Lepisosteus oculatus: one gene and its partners. The protein of the gene in region 2 purifies or fractionates together with the protein of the main gene of each other region. This does not show direct contact. Links are inferred from orthologs where the notes say so. Each region holds a gene or a part of one and is shown on either strand. Other genes may lie near its edges.

Region 1 (7,284 bases), on a different chromosome or scaffold from region 2:
CCCAGGTTGTTGTCCGAGGGTGCACTCACCATCACATTTGCGGGCTGCACTTTACCTGCAGGAAAACAAGGGATGAATGGAGCACATTGATGGCATATGTGTTGCATTATCTTGCAGAGCACAGAATAGACATGCTATCATCTAAAAAAAATGCTAAATATGCTCTAAGGATCCAGACGCATATTATTTGAAGCAGGAACATAATCTCTTCAGTCTCAACTAACAATAGCTACATTTAAACAACACCCTCTCAGCCTAACCTTAAGTCAGACCCTAATTATTGTAGGGCTGCAATATATCCAATGTGCTTTGGGCTTCTAACATCAGGAAAAAATCTAAACAAGCTGTTAATCTTCTTTTATACAGCAAATATATTTTGAGATGCAGTTTGATTTCGTTCAGGGCACAGGTATGTTACTGCAGCCTTGAAAGTTGTAAGGATATGACAAAGGTTCTCACTCAAGTCACTCAAGTTCACACTTTCAATATCATTCAGTCTTATAAATGCTGTCTAGTACCGCTTTTGATATGAAATCCTCTGCTTGGTTTCAGAAGTTCCTTACTGGGCCTCCCAAGTGGCTCACTGGTAAAGAGGCTCTCCTGACCACTGGTCATGTCACTAGCTGGCTGTCACCAGGACCGGGTTGGTAGTAAGGTATAGTTGGCCAGGGCTCTCTCAGCTCCCAAGCACACAGTGACCCCTGTGGCTCCTGGGTGCCAGCTAGCCCACAATGTGGGGCGTGAGAGACGCACCTCTCCTCCCATCGGCACTGTAGCCACGACAAGAGGTCTATACTGAATGTGAGGTGTTAAAAGACTAGCGACACAAAGGCAGGTGGGCTAGAGGAATCTGTCTAGCCTTCCTCTTTCTCCCCAGTGTACAGTCAGGGGGCTTGGATCTCCCAGGAAAAATGTCAAACAACATAAAATTAACTTTCCAAATTGGGTGGGTATAAGAAAAATAATTTAATAATAAATTAGCTTAAATTAGGTCAATTCAGTACACAAAAGTGTATGTAAAATACACATACAGTGTGTAAAACATGTTAGATTTGTTGCACAACCTCTGTCAGGTACTAAGGGAGTCACAAAAGATACTATCCTGGGCCCTACATTTTTCCCATCCATATTAAAAATATCACACAGGCATTAGTCAGCTCTTGTGTCCACATCTATCTTATTCCCAGCCCGACTGACCCCATCATCAGTAATGACCAATTTATAGCTCGGTCTCATTAGTAACAGTTCAGCCCATAATTCTGTTGAAGTGCAATATGGCCCGATCAAAAGAGATTTCAGAGGACCTCAGAAGAAGAGTTGTTGAAACTCATAAGAAAGGGCTACAAAAGGATTTCTAAAGACTTGGCCCTCCATCAGTACACAGTCATGCAGATAGTTTACAAATGGAAGAAATTCAGCACCGCTGCTATGACAAAGGGTTCACAAACTTTTTCACCACTGTATATAGACTTTTCTGCACACATGCCTTGTTTTTTTTTAAAAGAGAGTCATTATTTCCAACAACGCCAACACAGAGAGCTTTCTACAGCATCATTGGCTCCCTTAGTTTTTGACTAAGCAGCTCTTAATAGGTGATGGGAATGACACTATCAGATACTCACACTGTGTCAGCGTTTTTCTTTCTGCCAGTTGGTTAGATTTCAGCAGGCACACCTGAATGAGGGACTTTATGAAACCCATTAATTAGCTTTGGGTTTATACCAAATACGAATCTTAGCTTTTTAAAAATGAAATCAATTTTAAAATAAAGACTGAATCAGAGAATTGTAATAAAAATCCAGATGATGATGCCTCCACTTATGAGAGTTATATTATTTATAACCGGGAAGGCAAATCTACCAAAAAAAGGAAATTTAAAGGAACGTCTCACGACAAACTTTAAGCCCCGAAAATGCGGGATTTAGCATACAGTCATCTATTGCAGGCAGAAACTCTACCAAGATGCCTTGCGACACTGAGGAAAGAGGTCTCACCTGACATCAGAAGCCCCTGAGCTATTCCAAAGGCCATGTTCCCGGCTCCAATGAAGCCAATTTTAAGATCTGACAAATCTGGCTCCATCTCCAAATCTGAAAAGAAAATTAAAATCAATGTTACAACTGATTTTTTTCTATAAAATCACGCTAGTTCCCTCCTGTGTAAAAATTACTCGAAAACTGGTGAAACACCAAGTAACTCAGCGAGAAACCTGCGATCTGCTACAACTTGTATTATTTATAAAACTGCTTTAGGAAACTGTAGCATTTACACATGAAAATAACCGTCTGGTCCATAACTTTAAGACATTACCCGCAACTGTCAATGTTTTGCAGACGTTTACCGCGGTGATATTAATGCATTTTAACGTCAACGCCTCAGTAGTCAAATTAAAATTAAATCATGGAATTCCATACATCGGCAATAAAGTGGATCTAGTATAAACTGGATGCAAAATCTGTAATAAAAATGTGGTATTATTCTTATCCAAGCATGGATACCTCAGTCTAGTAAATCGTTCAATATATTTGCAGTGATACCTTACCCCCACAGATAAGTTATCAGTTAACTATTTATTTTTAATAACCGAGGGGAAAGAAATAAGAATCGAGTGTACAATAATCACGCAAAATCGAGTCAGCTCTTTACGAACCAGGAATAAATATATACATACTATACACGTGTCTTTCAGCTAGACAACCATGATATAACCTCGAGTTCTGGTCGGAGATAAGTAGAGGAGCAAAAATGTATGGCCGACCATGTACTTTCTCCTTGTTTACTTTCAGATTAATCGATTTATTATTAAAAGTTGACGTCTTTTATTAAGCCATTTATTAATAGCGATTTACTTTATAGAATCAAGACCTCGGCTTAATTTAAAATAAAAGGATAGTTACACTATAAGAAAGACGTAGATGAAAATAAAACAACATCAAATGTGTAGCCGCATCACTAGATAAGCGACTCTTCGCAACACACAGCACCTGACAAAATGCATAGTTCCTCCACCAAAATGACCATCTTTTAAAGGAAGTATTTATTTCGGTGTCAGTGTTCACACTGAATCCTAAACGAATCAAACAGCATTTTGTTGGAAAAATAATTATCTAAACGAGTCCACAAATTAATATGCTTTTAATGGATGCTATTTTCTGTTTCCGCTACATGACGCCAGGGGTCGCGCCATTCAGCATTTCAATTTTCCTGTTTTCACATTACGGATTTGATTGGCTGATCCGTGGTTATTTAAATATTTTCCCGGGAAGTGATAAATGCTTCCAGCTGGAATACGATTTTTTCTACAGGTCTATTCAGTAGAACAGAAAGGGCGTATCTCTTGTGTGGATCAGTTGTCGCCTACAAGGTACAACATATCTTGCCACTGGAGGTAAGCGTTGTGTTATAATCGTTTAACGCGTTTTTTCGAATTATTACCTCTAGGATGAGCCAGGTAGTAACTATTATAAGTAATTGAGGGGAAAAAACAACGCAAGCATCATACAGAAAATTATATGTACATATTTTGAAATAATGTGAAAACATGGCGTTGTTAACATTCTGATACCAGATGTTAATACTAAATGGTTACTACTCAGTCATAAGAACAGAACTTGGTGTAACGCACGTCGTTTGTGAGTATTGCGCAGTTACAAGATCTCAAATCTGATTATTATAATTCATAACCAAATTATATTAGCGAAAGTTGGTAAAAAAAATCTACAGGTGTTCTATTTTCTTTGTTAAATTTGTCTCGCGGTTGACAATGGCCATTCTCAAACACAGAGCTGGTTGAACATTGAACAGTGAAGTACGACTAATGTTTTTCGTGTTTTATGAATCTTAAATCAATAAACTAACTCAAAATATGTCAAATGCGTTTTGGTGTTAAAGCTTTTTGAATTAAATGCATGTCCTGACTAGAAAAAAAGTAAAAACATCATAAAGGGAGAGAAGACCGTTTGGTTGCTGATACAGTAGATGAGATCCTGGATCAACTATCCGTTTCTTGACAGAAGCAGGGTATCGTCTTGAACAATATGATAGCTTGTTCCTTTATTTTGAGACGGCATTTTAATATTGTGGTTCTTAGTCAAAAGTTAAGATGTAAAATCATCACAAGGTATCACAAAACTGAGGGTCATAGTTTTGTGGAGTGGACAGTGGATTCTGTGTAGTGGAGTGGGATTGTGTTTCATCCCAGGACTATTTAATCTGTAACACTTATTTTGCTGTCTGCTATGTTACACTGAGAACATCTTGAGCTCTCTTTTAGTTTTTTCTTGTTGGAAAGCGCTAGAACTAGCCTCTGTAGTGTGATGCTTCTTGTTCTTCACACTTACATTTAGAAAATATTCAAAAAGGTCTGGGAAACAGGATTTCACAAAGGAGACAAAGTAGGAAACATACCTGAAACAGGAGCAATATCTCATGAAGACTTCAAGAGGGCAGAGTAGCATTTCCTTAATTGCTCCAAAAGTTTAGAGACATTAATATAATCATCATGCGTTCTGATCCATGCTCACCACCCTGAAAACTGGTCTCTTGTAATGAAACAAGAGGGACTTCAAAACCTGGGGCTGCAGAGCCGACTTCTTTATGTCAAGATAAAGAATAGTTAATACATTCAAGAAGAGAGAAGAATGTGGAAACCCTATTCCCCCCCAACATGGAACCACAATTTCAGAAAATGAACTTGAGATTTAGCTGGAAATGGAAATAGATTTACAAGGGACCTTCTCTCTCTCACTGCCCAGATGATGCTCATGGCTGCTGGCCTACGCTTAATGTCTGCGCTGTTTCTCTGGGGGCTCTGCACCCACGTCAGGCCTGCAAGGGCTTTTTTTGGATGGATGACAAAGAAGGCAGCCCCTAGCCCAGCCCCCCCTCCACCTTCCTTCTCAGAGGCAGAAGGAGGGGCGCCTCCCCCCTTCGAGATGAGTGTCGCCGATGAGCATTTCCTGGCCGAGGCCAAACAGCTGGAGTTGAGCCCCTTGGACACCTGCCATTATCGGGTAACCGGCTGAGTCTGTGCCCCTTGCAGAGTCTTTCTGAGCATGGATCCATCTTCAAAGGGTCCCGATTTTGTGTCTGTATACTAGTTACCTGTCTGTCTGAATCTTTAGGAATATAGAAATGCAAACCTTCATATGATTCCATTAGCATTTTACACATCTATATTCCACAAGCAGAAATGGCACCAATTTTTCTGGCTGCTTATAGTTCAAAGTTATAGTTTAACAATTAATGTAGCTTTTTGACATGATGATTGGTTGTCTCAGGTCATGTTGTCTGAGGTGCAGATAGCAGCTGAGTTGTAAAAGTCTGGTTTCCGTGTGCAAGGAGCTGGATCTGAGTGCTGTCAGTCTGTTGATTCACTGGAGAAGAGGAGGACTTCTCGAACGTTTCCCAGTGTAGTTCCAGAACATTATCAATGTGATCATTAGAAGATGGTGCTGAGTATGCCGTTCTTTCTCTTAGGTGATTGCCAAGATCAAGACAACATGCAGCAGCCTGTCAGAGGAGGAGTTGGCCAAGCTAGGCGTGGTCTTATTCAACTGCCAAGCAGAGGTAGAAGGGCGCAGAACCTTCCCCTGCACTGAAGAAATGGTACGGTCCTGAAGGGACGGGTTTGGAAAGTTCGTGAATAGGAGCATGGATTTAAGAGTTCCATATATTATATATTATATATTTGCAGTGTTCAGTTATTTAAGCATTTTAATCACTTGTACTGTTTAGTTTCCAGTGTACCCATTTATTAAGTCTCAAACCTAAAACCACCTCTTTTTATGATCTATTTTCCTAGTGAGGCAATATTTACCGTCACCTCCTCCAGTTTCATTTCCTTCTTTTCTCACCCCCTTGCTCTGGTGACAGTATTAACCTCAATATCTCCTTCCTCTTCTCCCATTCAGACTATCAAAGAGTGCACGGCGGAGATGGACTCAGACACCTGGAATGCATATCACATCGTGAGTAACCGGGCACGCTCGGTCTGCTACGCCACGCGCCAGCAGCACTTCCGCAGGAAGGCGGAGTTAACCGTCAACTCTCTCATCTCCTCGGCAGCCAATCAGCTGGAGGCCATGAAGACCCTCAAGGTAAGAACGGCCTATACCCTACTCTCACCCACTGGTGATTCCTGCATCCCCTGTACCTTGACTGTCTAAAATGGCTTGCTGTGCCTTCTACTGCCTGCGACTCATGTTCTTAATGCAAAACTAACTACAATAAAGTCATCTTTTTCTGTCTTTTTACATCTTCCTCTCTGTGTCATTACTTCATCTCCCTTACTCTCACTTATGGATGACATGGACAAGGTTATTCCCCTCTTTGGTCATCAGGGAGGTGGAGACTGTCAGGCTCAGTCTCCCTGCCTGTTTAATTTCCCCTGTGCATCAAGTATCGTTTTCTTCCCTGTTTTCCAGGAGGGTCAACTGGAGCTGAAGGAGGTTACAGCCTCTTCGGTGGAGAAGCTGTTGCTAAGTCATGGGGCCCTTCTAGAGCAGCAGGGGGCTCTACAGAATGGGCAGCAGCAACTGGACTCGGCCATTAACTCAAACCTTGAGCGACTTACCCAGGAGAAGGAGCTGATCAGTTCTGGGCAGGAACTGGTGGCACAGCTCATCCAGCGCATCACGCAGCGCATGGGTAGGACATGAACACGCATTGACTGCAAAACCAGACACATGACTTTATGAGGGAGGGGGAAATCAAATTCCTCATCATGTCAAATCATAATCACTTTATTTACCAAGTACAGTATGTTGCACATATAAGAAATTTGATCTGGTGTCTTGGTGCTAAAACCTAGATGGAAACGATCAATAATTTGTGTACACCTCGCAGAAACTGTTAAGGTGGTGGGCAGATTTAGTTCTGATCGACTGGTAGCATCTCCCCGAGGCCGATTTATTAGGAGATCACAGGAGAAAGGAGTCATTCACAGTCTTTTCTGCTCACTGTTTACATTAAGTTTGTAAAGGGTTTCAGTAGATGGCAAAGGACAACCCGTGGATGTCTGCACAGTGGACAGTGTGTTGCAGTTTGCCTCTGGAGTGGACAGACGCATTGTCAAACCAAACAGTTCTATTCAGTTCTAATAGTGGCTCTATAAAATTGAAAGAGAACTGATGCAGGAAATACAATCTCTGGTGCACTTTCTTTGTGATGCTAATTACATTTGCATCACATTTGAGGGTCATGAGATGGTTATTGCTATAATCTTGAAATACACTCCCATACTCATACCCCTTGTCAATGTCTAGGGGGATTAGTTTTGGAGGG
Region 2 (7,685 bases):
CTGTATCTCTTTAAAAGTGGGGTAAGTTATTGCATATTGTGTCTTTCAGACCTACCTGACGATCTCCGTTGTGTTTGGGTCCTCAGTTTGGAAAGTATTTAAATGAATGAGAAATGTAGTATCCCCCTTACCCTGGGACAATCAAGAAAGTTTTTTTTTCCCCAATCCAGGTCCCAGAGAAACAGCGTGTGTGGGTTTTCATTCCAAATAATCTCTTAACAAAGAGCTGTCCTATTCTGTTTGTCTCTTTATGTAAAATCATACTATACTTTGTGAGTATGACTGCCTAAAAAGTCTACACCTCTGGACCCATAAGAAGCATTTTCACTTGAAAGCTAATTCATTGTGCATATCCATGGTGAACTCAACATCTAGAAACAAGTCTAATTTACCTGTGTAATTTTTTTAATTTAGATTGAATTTATTGTTAGTTCCAAAATATTTTTAATAATGAGAATATTTTTTTAAGTAAGAGCTGTATTTGATCACTTTTTCTTTTATGGTTTTGAAAGACAAAAAAGAGCAAATTAATGCAGAATTAGTGAGTGCTCCACACTGACAATTGCAGCAGAAGATTGAAAAAAAAAACCCTGTCAATATATTTATGATTTTTGATCATAGTGATTTGTAACTTTACATTCCTCATTTTGCAGCTGGATTAACAACTACTCACTTGTCATGAACATGAAAACTGTGGCCAAAGAAGGCATCTATGTTACTGAACATATTGATATTGGGATAAAGGGATAACAGAGTGTCTTGACTAATTGAGTTAGATTAACTTCAGTTGATTTTCTTCAGTATTTCACAGAGCCTCTAAAATGTGGAAGTGGTGCTTAGTAATTCTCACTGCTCTCTGGAAGCAGGGTGTAACAAAAATAAAACCAGCCTAAAACCAGATATTCAACTTAGGCAGGGGTTTCCAATCCTGGTCCTTGAGGCCCGCAGATCTGCCGGTTTTTAGTCCACCCAAGCTGTCAGTTACACAAGTGAACCCTTAATTGACATAGAAACAATTAATTTTTGAGGTCACCCTTTAACTACTGCATGTTTGAGGTAAAAAAAAACAACAACAACTTGCAAATGTTCCAATTAAGCAGCTTGTTAGATCTGCTTTTCAAGGGTTCAAATAAGTAAGTTCTGCTGGAATAAAAGAATCATTAGGAGTGTAGTACTCCAGGACAAGGTCTGAGAACTTCTGAGATCAAAAAGGGAAAATGGGAAACAGAAATATACATAATTAACTCACAAGAAAGGCGGCACAGTGACATAGTGATGAACCTTGCTGCCTCACAGCTTTGGGGCCTTGATTTCAATTCCGAACCTGGGTGCTCTCTTTGTAGAGTTTGTATGTTCTCCCTGTGTTCACGTGGGTTTCCTCTGGGTGCTTTGGTTTCCTCCCACAGTCCAAAAAAAAAAATTTTGGTAAATGAATTGGCTTCTGGGCAAATTGACCCTGGTGTGGATGTGTATATCTCTGTTTATGTCTCCGTGTGCTCTGTGATGGACTGGTGTCCTGTCCAGGGTGTACCCTGAGTTGCGCCTGTTGCTTGCTGAGATAGACTCCGGCCCCCCTGAGTTCATGAAATGGAAGAAAATGGATTGATGAATGAATGAAAATCCTGTAGCATTGGAAGACAAGGATTAGCCAAGATCACAGACAAGCAACATCTTAGAATCCAGGTGCCAAGATAGAACAGTCCTGCATAATGAACACATAAAAACAGATATAAAAAGGAAAAGCTATGCATTTAACATTTAATATATTCTTCATTTTTATCATGTATAATTTACTGTTGCAGATGCACTTGTAATTTTCATTTAGTTTAGTGTATATGTAAATGAAATGTTTATTTATCAAGTGAGTCTCAGAAACACACAAGCAAAAATAAGAGGAAGAGTAATAAAATGTACTTGGGTATTCTGAATTTGGAACCAAGGAATAACAGAAAATTGTCCGGTCCTTGAATGCTAAGAATATCAAATAGTTATGATATAAGATAACAATTCATTAATATTAAAACTAATTTTTAAACAAAAGCAATTCTACGTTGATAACATCAGTTTCCAAAGTGATAGATTCAATGCTACCATCTACAATGTGTGCTGGGTAGAATAGAGAGATGTGAATAAACAAGTAGAGATTATTTCCCTCCTGAAATGTTTTGGCTGTGGAGACTTCTTCACAAGGACAGAACAGAGACTTATTAAACTACAGCAGTTGCCATTTTCTTTCCTTCATAGGTTCCTCTACAATCCCTTCTGTGAAGTGATTCTTCTTTCAAGTGAGGCTAATACTCCTCCATCATCACTCTAAAACTTCATTCCCTAGGCACACATTATGCCAAGTATGCCATAGGTCCAGTATGCCAATAGTACAGTACTGTCTGACTATCCACATTGCTGCTATTAGAGACCACAGACACTGTCAATAGAAAAAAAGGACATCACTCAAAGTCACTGCTATTTTTAGGAAGTGATCTCACCTCCATGGAGATTTAAGTTTCTGTCTAACTCTTGTTCCTAGAAACTGTTGTCACATTGTTCGTTGTTGTGATGCAGATTTTAAATTGTTCCTGAGAAGATTAATTTGTAAAGGTCAGCTTTAGGCAGATGTCACCTCTTCTTCTATGGGATCTGAAAGGACTGTTGCAGGGATTGGGGTGGTAAGAATGGGCGTATTTGTTTTCATTACGTTGAGTCTGGCCTTGGTGTTTGGTCACAGCATTTCAAGTGGAATGTTATAGTCTTATCCTGAAGGGATGTCATCCCATGTTTCAATAAATAAAACTTATATCATACAACTCAGAAGGCACCAATGGAAACTACATAGACTTGTATATAAAACCAAGAGCAGGAGGCACTTTGTGACACCAACAACACACATCACAATAATAACATTACTGCCACCATGACACCTTAGTTTATACATGTTTTAAGTGCTTTGTCTTTCCTCTTTCACACCCCCGGCAGGATATAGTGTTTCTCTTTAAGGGAAAACTGCTCTGTTATTTTCCTTCTTGATTGCTTTTCATTTAGTTCTATTCAAGTCACTAGATCTTCAAGTCCACTAGAACAACCAATAACTCTTCTCATCACTAACTGTAACAGCTGATCCCATTTGGGATACTTTTCTTTAACCATCACTTGCACCCCTGACATAGCATCCAGCTTCTCACACTTCTCAATCTGTCTGCTGATGCACAGACTTTATTCAGGACACAATCTGTGCAATCCAGACTTCCTCTCAGATGCAGCCTTTCCAAGAGACACAGCAGCGGTCTTACAGGTATCAATACTTCCAGTCAGCCCTGGTTAAGCTGGCCAGCCATGTTCCTCAGCAGCAAACATCAACCCTACTGTGCTTGGCAAACTACCACATCTAACAAACACAGGACAGTGTTCTTCCCTCACTTTTGAGATTTTTGGAATAACATTACACTGCCTCCCTTACTTTTTTTATTCCTTTGGTTTGTTAATCCCTTTCTTAGTTTTCATGTAGCCTATCTGTCCAGCACCTGTAACACTCCTCAGTACAATTTCAAACATCACCAATTAAGCGACATTAAGGCAACCCAATCAGATATGAAAGAGAACTCTCTCTGAATGCTAATTACTCTATCAGACCAGGTGTGCCTCATTCCATAATTTCCCTCCCCAATTAAAAGATGGCTGTCTCACAAAGTCACCTGTCACTACCTCACACAATTCTTTGCCAAAAGGATTCTGAGTATGGAACTACCAAGCCATCTTATTGAAACTGATACAATTTATTTCAGAGGTTCTTAACCTGTGGTGCACAGACCTAATGGGGGTGAGCAACATACCAGATTTTTTAGTAGGTAAATCATCACAAGCACAAATTAAGTACAACTAACTTTGTCTAATCAAACCTACTGTAGGTATTTAAAGGTACTATAAACTTAAAATTATCCTTGAAGACATGCTGTTTTCAGGCCTGTAGATCTTCCCAATTCACTTTATAAACAACTACAGTATGTATAACTTTTTCTAAAAAAGTTTTTGTTTTTTATTTCAGCTCTTAATCAATTGGACAGGTAAGAGATTACCATTAACCTGGTACGATACTCATTTCCTATTAACATTTAAATAACCTTGTAAGTCAACTTGAAGTCCAGTCCATGCAAAAATCAAAGTATAAGATGAGACAAGCTCATTCAGACCATGTTGCTGTTTTGGTTGTCAGAGTAAAGAAAATTCTCATTAAACTGATATTGAAAAGATTGACACTAACTATATAATTATTACAATCCCATGGCACTCTTCGTATGAAAAGGGGATGTTAACTCTGGCAATTCTGCTCTGGAATACGATTTTTTTATGAAAGCAAGAATTCAATTAAATGCAGGCATTGTTGTTTATGTAACATCATCAGTGGACACGCATTATATAAAAATGTATATTAAATGCAAGCAATATTTGTTTTTTACGTGTGGCTTTCGCTCAAAAAGAAGTCACAGAACTATGTTTACGAGGGATGTGTTGAGAACTAGCTGATCAAATGGGGGCGTGGTCTTGAAAGGTTTGTCCGTCCGTGGCGTTGTAGAGGAGGGCGTTGCTGCCTACGCAACGACACTCTGACGTATGACGGGGGTGTGTGCTGGAAGGCAGTATGAGGAAGCATCTTGATGGCGGGGGAGAGTTCTGGAAGTTTCTGCTGTGTTATAAATACTGAAAGCAGGCAGAACCAGCGTTCTGCAGCTTGAGAGAAAGTCGTAGAGAGCTGGTTGCGCTTTATTTTGTTAAGGGTATTGCGTCGTTGGTGTACGTAATACAGGTGTCTGTATATATGACATTGAGATTGCGACTTTTTGTTTATCCTGCGTGGATCTGTAAAAGGAACTACAGTAGGAAACCTTTAGCTGATTCGCGTGACTGCTGTTTGTTCACTGTGACGACGTCGTGACCTTTTGCTTAAAGAGCAACTTGTGTGATTTTCCTCTTGTCGTCTTGTGAGTGTAATTGATCACCGGGGCTGTAATGGGTAAAGATTATTATAAGGTGCTGGGAATCCAGAAGGGAGCCTCGGAGGACGAGATCAAGAAGGCATACCGCAAGCAGGCATTGCGCTACCACCCGGACAAGAACAAGTCTTCGGATGCCGAGGAGAAATTCAAAGAGATCGCGGAGGCCTATGACGTTTTGAGCGACCCCAAGAAAAAAGACATCTACGACAAATTCGGGGAGGACGGTAAGATAACACTTAATTAAAAATAAACTCCACAACAGCAGCATTTCGGCAAGTTTAGGACTAGCAGTGAGATTCCGGGTGTCCCGTTACCTCCATGGAGGACCTCCCACTTCTGAAAACGTTTGACTCCTTGTGATGCCCAGAAAAGCGTTTCTATTAAGATGCCATGGGGAGAGAGCTGTTCCTTAAAGCTCAGTCGCATCAAGCGGATTTGCTGGGTGAATTGCGTTGCATTTTGCAGTCGGTGTTTAGATTTAAAGTCCTTGTGCGTGTGTTGAAAGTGTGCCCGACTCTCCCAGCCTACCGGCATGTTCTGGCAACTTCTGGGTGTGTGTGGCAGCTGATAGAGCCCAAAACCGAAACTAAAGACGTATGATCGACCAGTGCGCTTTCGAAAGTGCTAAGGTGCAGTTTCAGTTAGTGATGGTACTGTTTAACCTTTCTCGTAGTATCATACAGCTGACACGGGCAATCCAATACTGACCGATTGACCCCTGCAGGTAATCGGGTTCGATCTTAACTAGGTGCCGCGCTGGACAGGATACCGCTGTGGACTGTGGAGGCCTGGGGCTACAACGCGCAATCTATTACATTTTGTTGCTTTAAAATATCGATCCCCCTTTTCATATGCCTGTTAAAGGTGGGAAGGCACCACATTTTCTCCGTCTTATGCCCCCTTATTGTCAGACTTTAAACTTGCTGTAGAGTAAGAAATGCAAGTTTTGCTCGGAATCTGGAAAAATGACTGCTTGTTGAGTGTTGGTGAGAAAGGCCCCTTCAAAGTGTGAAGTTGTATTATTTATTTTTTTAAGAAATGCAAACATTCTTGAGCACTGCCGTGTTTCTCTGATGCTTTTCAGTGTAGGGTAGAATATTAAAATGTTGCCTACGTCGTGAGATGTTTTGTGGATCGAGTTTTGCACAACAGCCGATTGGAATCATTAATCGTGAGTCTTGTAATGTTTGTACATTAACCCTTATCTGCCTTAATAATGGCGTTTAAATATGAAAGCATAAAATACAGATTCGTTTAGCATTAACCCGTGTTGGAGGGATCAGAAACCATAACTTCTCGTTAAGGATGATCAGTTAGGGAAGAGAGAACTTAACCTTGTCTCGCTTTGACCAGTCTCGTTTACTTATTTCCGAAACAAGAATTTAAGTCCTAGTCAAAAAATGTTTTAGCCGCTTGAGTAGATATAGAGGTGAGGGTTCCATAGAAAAACAGTTTTCTTTTGTAAGTCAGCTATTCGTGTTATAGACTGATTTGTGGTTGTACTGTAGTTTTGCCATAGTCAGCGGGTAAATGTTAAGTTACGTAAATTTATTAATGTCATTGAATATCTAATACTTTACTTTCGCTGTGTTCTGGCGACCCGGGTGCGCTCAGCCGCTGATTGGCTCAGTACATGCCTCGCGTGCCTTCTGGAAGTTTCTCGCCTGGTCCTGTCTGGGGCTGTTAGAGGCTTACTCTGAGCTTCTGTCGGGATTATACAAGGGCAGGTTTGCAGCAGGGCTTCAGGTGCGCTTTGAACTAAACAACCGTCGCTGGATTTGAGGGCAGAAAGAACTTTTCTTTTAATTGGTGTCCCTGTTCTTGTAGAGTTATCTGATTATTTTACTTATAATTGTTTAACCCTAAACGACACTTTGAGAGGCCACATTTCTGTTGTGATGTTTCAATTTTAAGTGATATGGGCATTAAAGAACAGATAAGAAAGCAGTATTTACAGAATGCCTTCTCAGAGTACCTTGAGTACCATGTACCCTTCATGTACATAAGGTCAAGATGTGCTAAAATAGTCCGAAATAGGCAGAAATCAAGTAATGATTTGTTATACCAGAAACAATTTTCAACAATTTCACTGTTCTTCATACCTCATAATCCTGTGTGAAATAAAATATCCATCTTTTGAATGTCTTTGGTTCTTTAATCAGAAATTCAGTTGCTGCTCAATGGTGCAGCTCTCTTCAGGACAGTGCAGAAAGGCTTGATTTTTCTGACCTGTGCGTAATGTTTTGTGCCTTTTCCCCCCACTCAGGTCTGAAGGGGAACGCTGGAGGTGGCGGACCAAATGGCACAAATTTTAACTACACATTCCATGGGGACCCCCATGCCATGTTCGCAGAGTTCTTTGGGGGTCACAGCCCTTTTGATTCCTTCTTCAGTCGCAACGGGGGTGATGAGGATATGGACATCGATGACCCCTTTGCGGGATTTGGCATGGGGGGGTTCTCCAGGGGCTTCACACGCATGGGGATGGGGGGACGTGGGTCCCGGGATGGCATCGTGAAAAAGCAGGACCCCCCTGTAGTGCATGACCTGAAGGTGACCCTGGAAGAGGTCCTCACAGGCTGCACCAAGAAGATGAAGATCTCCCACAAGAGGCTGAACCCTGATGGACGTACCACCCACACAGAGGACAAGATCCTCACTGTGGAGATCAAGCGTGGCTGGAAAGAAGGCACCAAG
Region 3 (7,334 bases), on a different chromosome or scaffold from region 2:
GGTGGGAGGGGTGAAACCTGACCTCTGTGGAGACAAATACAGGTAAGGTAGTTATGAGAGAGAATCAGAGAGGGCCAAACTACACAAGGCCCATCAGTCTGCAAATTTCAGAAGCCCGACACAGTGGACTGACAAATTGCCCTTTTAACCTCTCATTAAAATTGGTCTAAATATAGCAGACATCACAGGAGAGAGAAAATGTGGTTTTCTTTCACGCCAATCCAATACCTAAAGCGGACTTCTGGCATGTACTGTTTCTTATCCTGTATTCTATTTTAAGGTCATTGCATAAAAGCATGATTCACAACTGCATGAAACCTCTCTTCCTGACTGCTCTGGTGGATATTCAAGAGATTCAAGGCAGGGAATCACACCTTGCACTGCCAAAGCATCCTGCAGCCACATACAATCTCAGGAGAGAAACATTTAAATGTTAGGAGAGTGTGCAGTACAGGGAGGAGAATCCACTTCAGGAGACTCTTATAAACAAGGTGCAGCTCCGTGCTGAAACGAGTTATTATTAAACGCATTTTCAGTTAAAAGTTCACAAGCTAAAAACACTACTTTTTTTAATCTTTCGGAATACCCAGTGGCTTGGAAATGTGTCTGGTCGGATGAGTAGAGAACAATTAAAATCTGCAGACATTGCTTGCTGTATAGGGAAGATGCATCTCAGGAGACTCTTGAAATAAACAATGTGTCTGTAAGAGATGTTAATCACACTGCAATACTGTAATAAAGAGGTTTTTAACTTCAGGGTGACTAAAACTACAGTACTTCTGCAGAGCGATATATCTTAAACACTGATGCATTCAATGTGCTCACAACCATTTATTAATTTCCAAGATATGAAAAAGCGATGTTATGTCGTAAAATAAAAATATATACAGCGTATACTGGACTTCACCATTCCCACCTCGCCTGGCCTCTTCTCCTGTTTAACGGGCTCTCTTTCACTGCTGTATCTCAGTCGTCCCGACAAAACACCTGCTGCATACCGGGAATACGTCAGTTTACCGTGATGGAGCGATCGCCACGTCCGAATTCCTGACAATTTTATACTCATCTCTGCCTTATTCCTTCAAACCTCTTCTCCACTCGCTGACCTCTTCCAGAAGCAACTTAACCCACGAACTTGAGCCCCACGTGACTACCCCGTGAACTTAAGAGGCTGGACAACAAAATCCTTACGCGGAAATCCAGCGCCCCCTTGCACTTGTAACCATCCACAATCACGAGTTTCGTTTTATCGTGCAAATTCAAGAGTTTTGGTGGAGTTTACACTATATATTGCATTATCAGTAGTGGGTTGATTTTTTTTTATGAATTCAAAACAACTTGTATAGCACAAAGCAAATATGTCGAAAACAATGACGCGAGTTGTTGTTTAAAACGACAAGATTAAAAGTGGAAGGTGTGTAAATGGGGTTAGAGAGGGGTACGTTTTCAATTCTTTTCGAGGTGATTTGCGGAGAGTAATTGTCTCTTTCAAAGATATTTACTGCGGCGACAGCGAGGGTGATACTGTCTCACATCAGGGTCCATGGAACTTCGGGATTTCTACACTTGGACCGTTCCGTGTGCGGACCTCTGTCGTGACGTCACTCGGCCGGCCCGACTCTTCTCCCGGCAGTGGAGCCGTGCGATGAGGATTGTTGTGCGTTTCTCTCTCCTCCCCTACCGATCTGATGGCTGTCCGCTGGTTATGCAGGTAAGACGCACACCGCTACCCTTGACCCCTTTCTTTGGTACGGAATACCTCAAGCGTAAATTGCTGGAATTGCCTTTTTTGTTTTTACTCATGGGTGAGGTTGTTACCGCCGCTGTCAGTCAGTTCTTTCTCAGCCTTTCTCGAAATTCTTACTGTTGACAAAGGATTTGAAAGGACCTGCTGTTATCAGTAAAAAAAAGATGTAGCAGTGTCAGTTAAGGATGATTTCGGATTTTGTAAAGCGATCAAGGGTGCCCATCGGAGACGTTTTCCAACAGGTCTAGTGCTGACAGTGTGATACACGTTTCGCTTCAGCGAGGTGTTGCTATTTGAATTTGAGCCGAGCTCTGCTACAGAAAACGTAAGGGCAGTGCCATTGTTTTTAGGCAGTGAGAATGCACCGTACGGTAGATATGCAATACCGTGGCTACTTACCCGTCCGGGACAGATTCACAGCTGTCATCCGCTTATCGTTAAGAAAAAAAAATGGTTCAGGTTGTGCGGAGCAGGGCGCCTCTTACAAACTGCACAGGTTGAAGCCATCCTTTCGCTATAGGGCCAGAGATTTGATTTCGTGCCGCTCGGTGCACCTGTCGCCCAGAGAGGTGATGGTGCTGTAGGAGATGAGCTTGGTGGCACTAAGATTTTCACCTGCATGACGGCCTCGATAGCCCCCTCCGAGGCCTCTGGTGTTGGAGAGAGCGTTAATTGTGCTTTGGCAGCGCTGTGAATTTATCGGCCATGCCCTTGAGTTTGAATTTGAGAGCACATGCGTTAGGGTTTCAGTCGGTTGTCAATCAGTATGTCACAACAACCATTTTGACGTAACCTTTACAGATGACACTACGATAAAAAAAAGCGAACTACTGGCGTTATCAAAGTAAGAAAGAGATGCGCTACAAAACAGAAAACTAAGGGTGTCTTAATGTTTGTGCGCGGTAACAGGGTAGCCCTTAACCAATCAATGACGAGCCGAGGTAATAACGAGAAAATTCGTTTATATATGAAGACTTTAATGAAGTATTCCTCAGAGCGCATTAGCAATAACTCATTAAGTGCCACCAAATGTAATTACCTTTGTGTTTTCTGTCTGGGCAGCATGCACGTTTCCGCGGAGGAAAATGGAAGTTAAAGCTTTAGGAAGCTACATCGTTTCTTAAGCAGTGCTCACAGATGATCTCGCTGTGCCTTTTTAAAAAAAAACTCGATCGTCTTCAGAACGAGTCCTGAACTGGTGGACAGCAGTTTAGATCTTGTTGTCTGTCTGATAAAAAATGTCAGAGCTTCACTAGCGAGAAGAGGAATGAAGATCATCTTTAACGAGTTTAAAATTGAAAACGTTTACATGACGTCCTCTTTTTCAGTCCTGTTGTAACCTTTTACAAGCAGCCTCATCTATCTCAGTGTTTTCCATTTTGTTTTTGTTTTGTTTTTTGCTGCCTGCACGCAGAATCCTGCACTTGTCTTGTGTGAACAAGCTGCAGTTGGGCAATATTGTGCCTGAAGCAGTATTGATAGACTTCAGAGGAAGTTGCGGATTACGATTGCGGAGGTTGAGGTGAAGACCTTACAGTGTCTCTGTGAATGAAGGTGCAGTAGTTCTACGACTTTCTTACTGACTGTGAAACTCCGGATGGGTGGTAGCAGAAGTGGTGTTCATGTGGCCATACTCCATGGGATTTGTGCGTTCAGTGATCTGAACATCGTTTCTAACCTACTGTTACGCGGACACATCCGTGGACACAGTACGGTAGTGTGACTGCTGGTTATTCGGGGCTCTTGGGTTTGATTCCAGTATGGGCTCCCCTCCAGGTCCAGTCTGCACATTCCCTCTCCATGTCCACATTGGGTTTTCATCAATACCCATTTCCTCCCACCTTCCGAAGACAGGCTGATGAGGTCACGAGGTGTCTGCAAGCCCTGCCTCCATGTGGGTCTACCTGGTGATGGCCTAGACTGGGGTTTAAGCTATAGTCCCATATTGCACCCTGGGCTCCCAGGACAAATCCCGGGTTGCATCAGCCACGTTTTCTGGTAATGGACGGATAGATAGATAAATCCATCCCCTGTGTCCTCTTCTCAGCTGCGGGGAGGTGAACGTTTGACCATTAAATGCCAACCAAGCATCATCCTCCATGTCTTCAGAGTTCACTAGGGGTCGGAGGTAAGCGGGATTCAGCGCCATCGATTCGTGAGCGAGCAGGCCGTCGCTGGGACTGAATTAGGGACGCGTGTGTACCGCAGGAATGGCGAATATTTCTAGCGGGCATTATTCTATCGCTCCCCCTGAATTCTTGATTGAAGTGCCAGTTTTAATTGAGGTTGTGATGGCATCGAGCGTATATTTAAAAAGCCTTGGTGCTACTTTGTGGGTTCTCTCTATCCATGCATGCTCCTATTCCTCCTGTCAGGTTTGCACTCGTGGAATATTACTGGGAGGCATCCGAGTGGAAATGTAACTGTTCCTGGTTGTCTTTCCACGCTATCTGAGGTGTGCGGGGCAGGTTGCAGCGATAAAGGTTGGCGAGACAGCCGTTTGAATTACTTTGTGATTCTGAGCGTCTCCATCACCTGCTGTTCATGCATCCCATCAGGACGCCAGGTGCGATATCACAGTGCTGGCACATGACCCGCACGAGGAGAGTAAGAGAATTCCCTCTCTCTGCCACTGACAGGTTTTTGGTGCTAGGAGTCAGATGCTGTTCACGCGTGTCAGCTCTGTTGTACAAAGTGACATGCAGTATGGTGATTGTGGAGGGGGAGAAACTGTGGATTCCTGCAGGAGAGGTGTGGAATAAGTATTTTTGGGTTGATGTCTTTTAGGTAATATTATATTTATTTACAATTTTTTAATGTTTGTTTGTACTATCCATCCGTATTGTAAGTTTCTGTGTGTGCAAAACATAGCTGCTTGGATGCAAAAAAAAATAGTGAGACATGAGGCGATCAATTATTCCTGTCTCACATGAACAGATAGGCAAAACCAAGATTCTTTACATTTTAAACATGACCACAATGCCAGTTCCTTGCTCTCTTGTTAAACAAGCGTCCTTTCAAAGGAATGTTTATAAATACATTAAATACATTGCCAAACAGGACACGTGATCCTTGTGGGTGGGGTCACATGCTCACACACAGACACCCACACGGTGTGAACTGTGAATGGGGCAGGTGACGGGGACGCTGTCTCCTTTAAGACGGCAGAAAACGAGGAACAAATCTTTTATGACATCAAAGACTCGCATCATCGGCAGACTGGCAGCTGCAGTGGAGCCTGCCAGGAAAGTGCTCTTCAGTCCCCAGAACCCTCGCAGTGTCAACACGGCCACATAACCTGCTTATCTGGGAATGGGCATGCCTGTGGTCACGGAGCAGCGGAATGCTCTGGAGCGTCTGGAGGACTATTCCGAGCCTTAGTGTTTCCCACTGGGAGCTGGGAGATCTCTAGCACAAGATTTCTAACGCAAATTAGCCTGCTTCATCTGCCAGCATATCCACCACGTTTGTAAGTAATTCCGTTTTTAGGTTTCTTTTTATAAGATTCCCGGATGGCGGGGGCGACGGGACTGCCTTTGATGTTCCCAGGCAGCGAAGTATCTGGGGTTGGGAAAGTAAAAAAAAAAAAGCTAAGCTGAACAGAATACCATTTTTTTCTTCGAAATGGGGGAAAGAAACAACAGCGAGGCAAGTGGGTTCCAGGGTGTGAACATGTTCCTCGTCGAATGCAGGAGATCGGATTGCTAAACAAAGAGTGGGCTGGTTTGTAATCTGCGTTCAGGGGTTCGGCGAGGAGCATTCCTTTGGCTGGGATGGTGAAAGTGTTTGGTGGGGCTGTTTTAATCCTATTTCGATGTTAGGTGTGGCGGCTTCTCTTGGGGGAGGGATTGTGTACTGAGCCATAAATCCCAGCCAGAGAGTTATTTGCGCAAAAGCTGTGATGTAATCCCCGTATCCACAGAGGTACAAAGGTGTGTATCGCTCTGGCTGTATGTTATCTCTAATGGGAACTAAACAGACATGTCTTCTCAAGGTTAGAGCGCTTTCCCTTTGTTCAAAACAGGATGGTTTTGTTTTTAATCAATCGCCGTATTTCCTACCAAACAAAATCTTTAGATGATATTTCGATATCGCTCTTCCCCGTGAGGCAGTATGATGGTTTACTCACCTAGACAGATGTTGCCCACCCTTGTGAAAAACAGGGTGATGCAGGCCTCTGAAGTAGTAGGTTGCTTGTAATCTGTTAAAAAATAGATAAATGCTCAAATTAACGTACTCCCGGGAAGTTAGTTGCCCCCTCTTTAGCCTCTCTGTCTTTACTGCATCATCCCACCCATCAGCTATTTTCTATAGCCCTGGAGGGCAGTGGTGGGCAGACACGGGGGCCAGGCAGGGCAGGAAACACCCTGGAACACACACACACACACACACGCACACACACGCACACACACGCACACACGCACACACGCACACACGCACGTACAGGGGCGATTTAGAGATGCCAGTTCACCTGGACTGTGGGGTCTTTGGACTGTTGGGGGGGGGAGAACTGAATACTCCACACGGAAGATGCCTCCGTCTGGAATCTGACCCAGGAGCTGGGAGGCAACTGCGCTCTCTGCCGCAGAGTTTTTTTTTTTTTTTTTTAAGCCCCTCCAGCTTCTGCACGGGGCTCCCGTTGTAGTTTGCCGCGAACGCTGTTGTGGTGACCCCCCCTGCCCCCCCCTCCCCTTCTCCGCAGCCTGTTTGGAAAGCCCTTTGATGGTGGGAAGCGCATGGAGACGGGCGGCCAGCATCCTGGCCTGCAGCGGCTGCAGGAGGTCCAGCGGGAGGTGCAGGGCCTGGGCAAGCAGGTGGGCTCCTTCAGCGGCCTGCAGAGCGACCGCGAGTACCGGCGGCTGGAGCGCGAGCTGACCCGCCAGCTGCTGGAGGTGGACGCGGTGGACACGGAGGGCAAGGCCGAGGTCCAGCAGGCCCGGAAGCGGGCGGCCCAGGAGGTGGAGGGGCTGCTCCGGCTCCTGGAGGAGAACTCGGCCCACCCCTCCCGCCTGGCCATCGAGGGGCTGAGCCAGGAGGCCCAGCGGCTGGTGGAGGCCGGGGTGCTGGAGCCCCAGAGGGCGGGCGCCGGGGAGATCAGCGACGAGCTGGTGGAGAGCCTGCAGGACCTGGTCCTGCGGCTGACCCAGGTGAAGACGGGCGGGAGGGTGCCCCTGCGCAAGGCCCGGTACCGGGCGCTGACCCGCGTGTGCGCCGTGCAGGACGTGATCGAGGGGCGCACCCGCCGGCAGACCCTGCCCCTGCCGCTGTCCGAGGACACCCACGCGGCCGTGCAGAGGATCAACATGGTGATGGCCAGGGTGAGCCAGGCGCGCAGCGAGCTCATCGCCCTGCTGATGGGCCTGGGCGACGGGGACAGCTGCGCGCACCTCGCCCGCGTGCTCACCGAGCTCCTGGTGGAGCTGGACGCCCTGGACGTGTCGGGGAACGCCGCCGTGAGGAACTACCGCAAGCAGGTGGTGGAGGAGATCCACGGGCTCCTGAAGCACCTGGACCTGGAGGGAGAAGGGGACGACACGTGCAGGTATGAGCCAAAACGACACAAAAGCCAGATCAGTGCAGAGATCCA

Evidence for each region.
Region 1: the proteins of dnaJ homolog subfamily B member 1 (region 2) and pycr3 purify together in Homo sapiens (affinity purification with mass spectrometry; 3 studies listed by BioGRID and IntAct, with this or other methods). This does not show direct contact. The link is inferred for Lepisosteus oculatus from reciprocal best matches to the Homo sapiens genes DNAJB1 and PYCR3.
Region 3: the proteins of dnaJ homolog subfamily B member 1 (region 2) and bag5 purify together in Homo sapiens (affinity purification with mass spectrometry; 3 studies listed by BioGRID and IntAct, with this or other methods). This does not show direct contact. The link is inferred for Lepisosteus oculatus from reciprocal best matches to the Homo sapiens genes DNAJB1 and BAG5.

Annotation. Positions count from the first base shown.
Region 1 is NC_090701.1:27,352,208-27,359,491, reverse strand, and holds the start of pycr3 (pyrroline-5-carboxylate reductase 3), read right to left. Parts: upstream 3,092-7,284; 5' UTR 3,022-3,091; coding exon 2,985-3,021; intron 2,758-2,984; exon of another isoform or gene 2,672-2,757; intron 2,656-2,671; exon of another isoform or gene 2,499-2,655; intron 2,475-2,498; exon of another isoform or gene 2,311-2,474; intron 2,091-2,310; coding exon 1,995-2,090; intron 1,687-1,994; exon of another isoform or gene 1,623-1,686; intron 56-1,622; coding exon 1-55. Other genes in the region: bmb (protein brambleberry), read left to right, coding at 4,755-5,012, 5,479-5,607, 5,913-6,098, 6,426-6,648.
Region 2 is NC_090706.1:21,692,532-21,700,216, reverse strand, and holds the start of dnaJ homolog subfamily B member 1, read left to right. Parts: upstream 1-4,616; 5' UTR 4,617-5,001; coding exon 5,002-5,212; intron 5,213-7,254; coding exon 7,255-7,685. UniProt on the Homo sapiens protein: Interacts with HSP70 and can stimulate its ATPase activity. Stimulates the association between HSC70 and HIP. Negatively regulates heat shock-induced HSF1 transcriptional activity during the attenuation and recovery phase period of the heat shock response.
Region 3 is NC_090703.1:6,905,500-6,912,833, reverse strand, and holds the start of bag5 (BAG family molecular chaperone regulator 5), read left to right. Parts: upstream 1-4,255; 5' UTR 4,256-4,291; coding exon 4,292-4,498; intron 4,499-4,874; exon of another isoform or gene 4,875-4,908; coding exon 4,909-5,216; intron 5,217-6,449; coding exon 6,450-7,289; intron 7,290-7,334. Other genes in the region: coa8 (cytochrome c oxidase assembly factor 8), read right to left, coding at 1-24, 917-1,066. UniProt on the Homo sapiens protein: Co-chaperone for HSP/HSP70 proteins. It functions as a nucleotide-exchange factor promoting the release of ADP from HSP70, thereby activating HSP70-mediated protein refolding.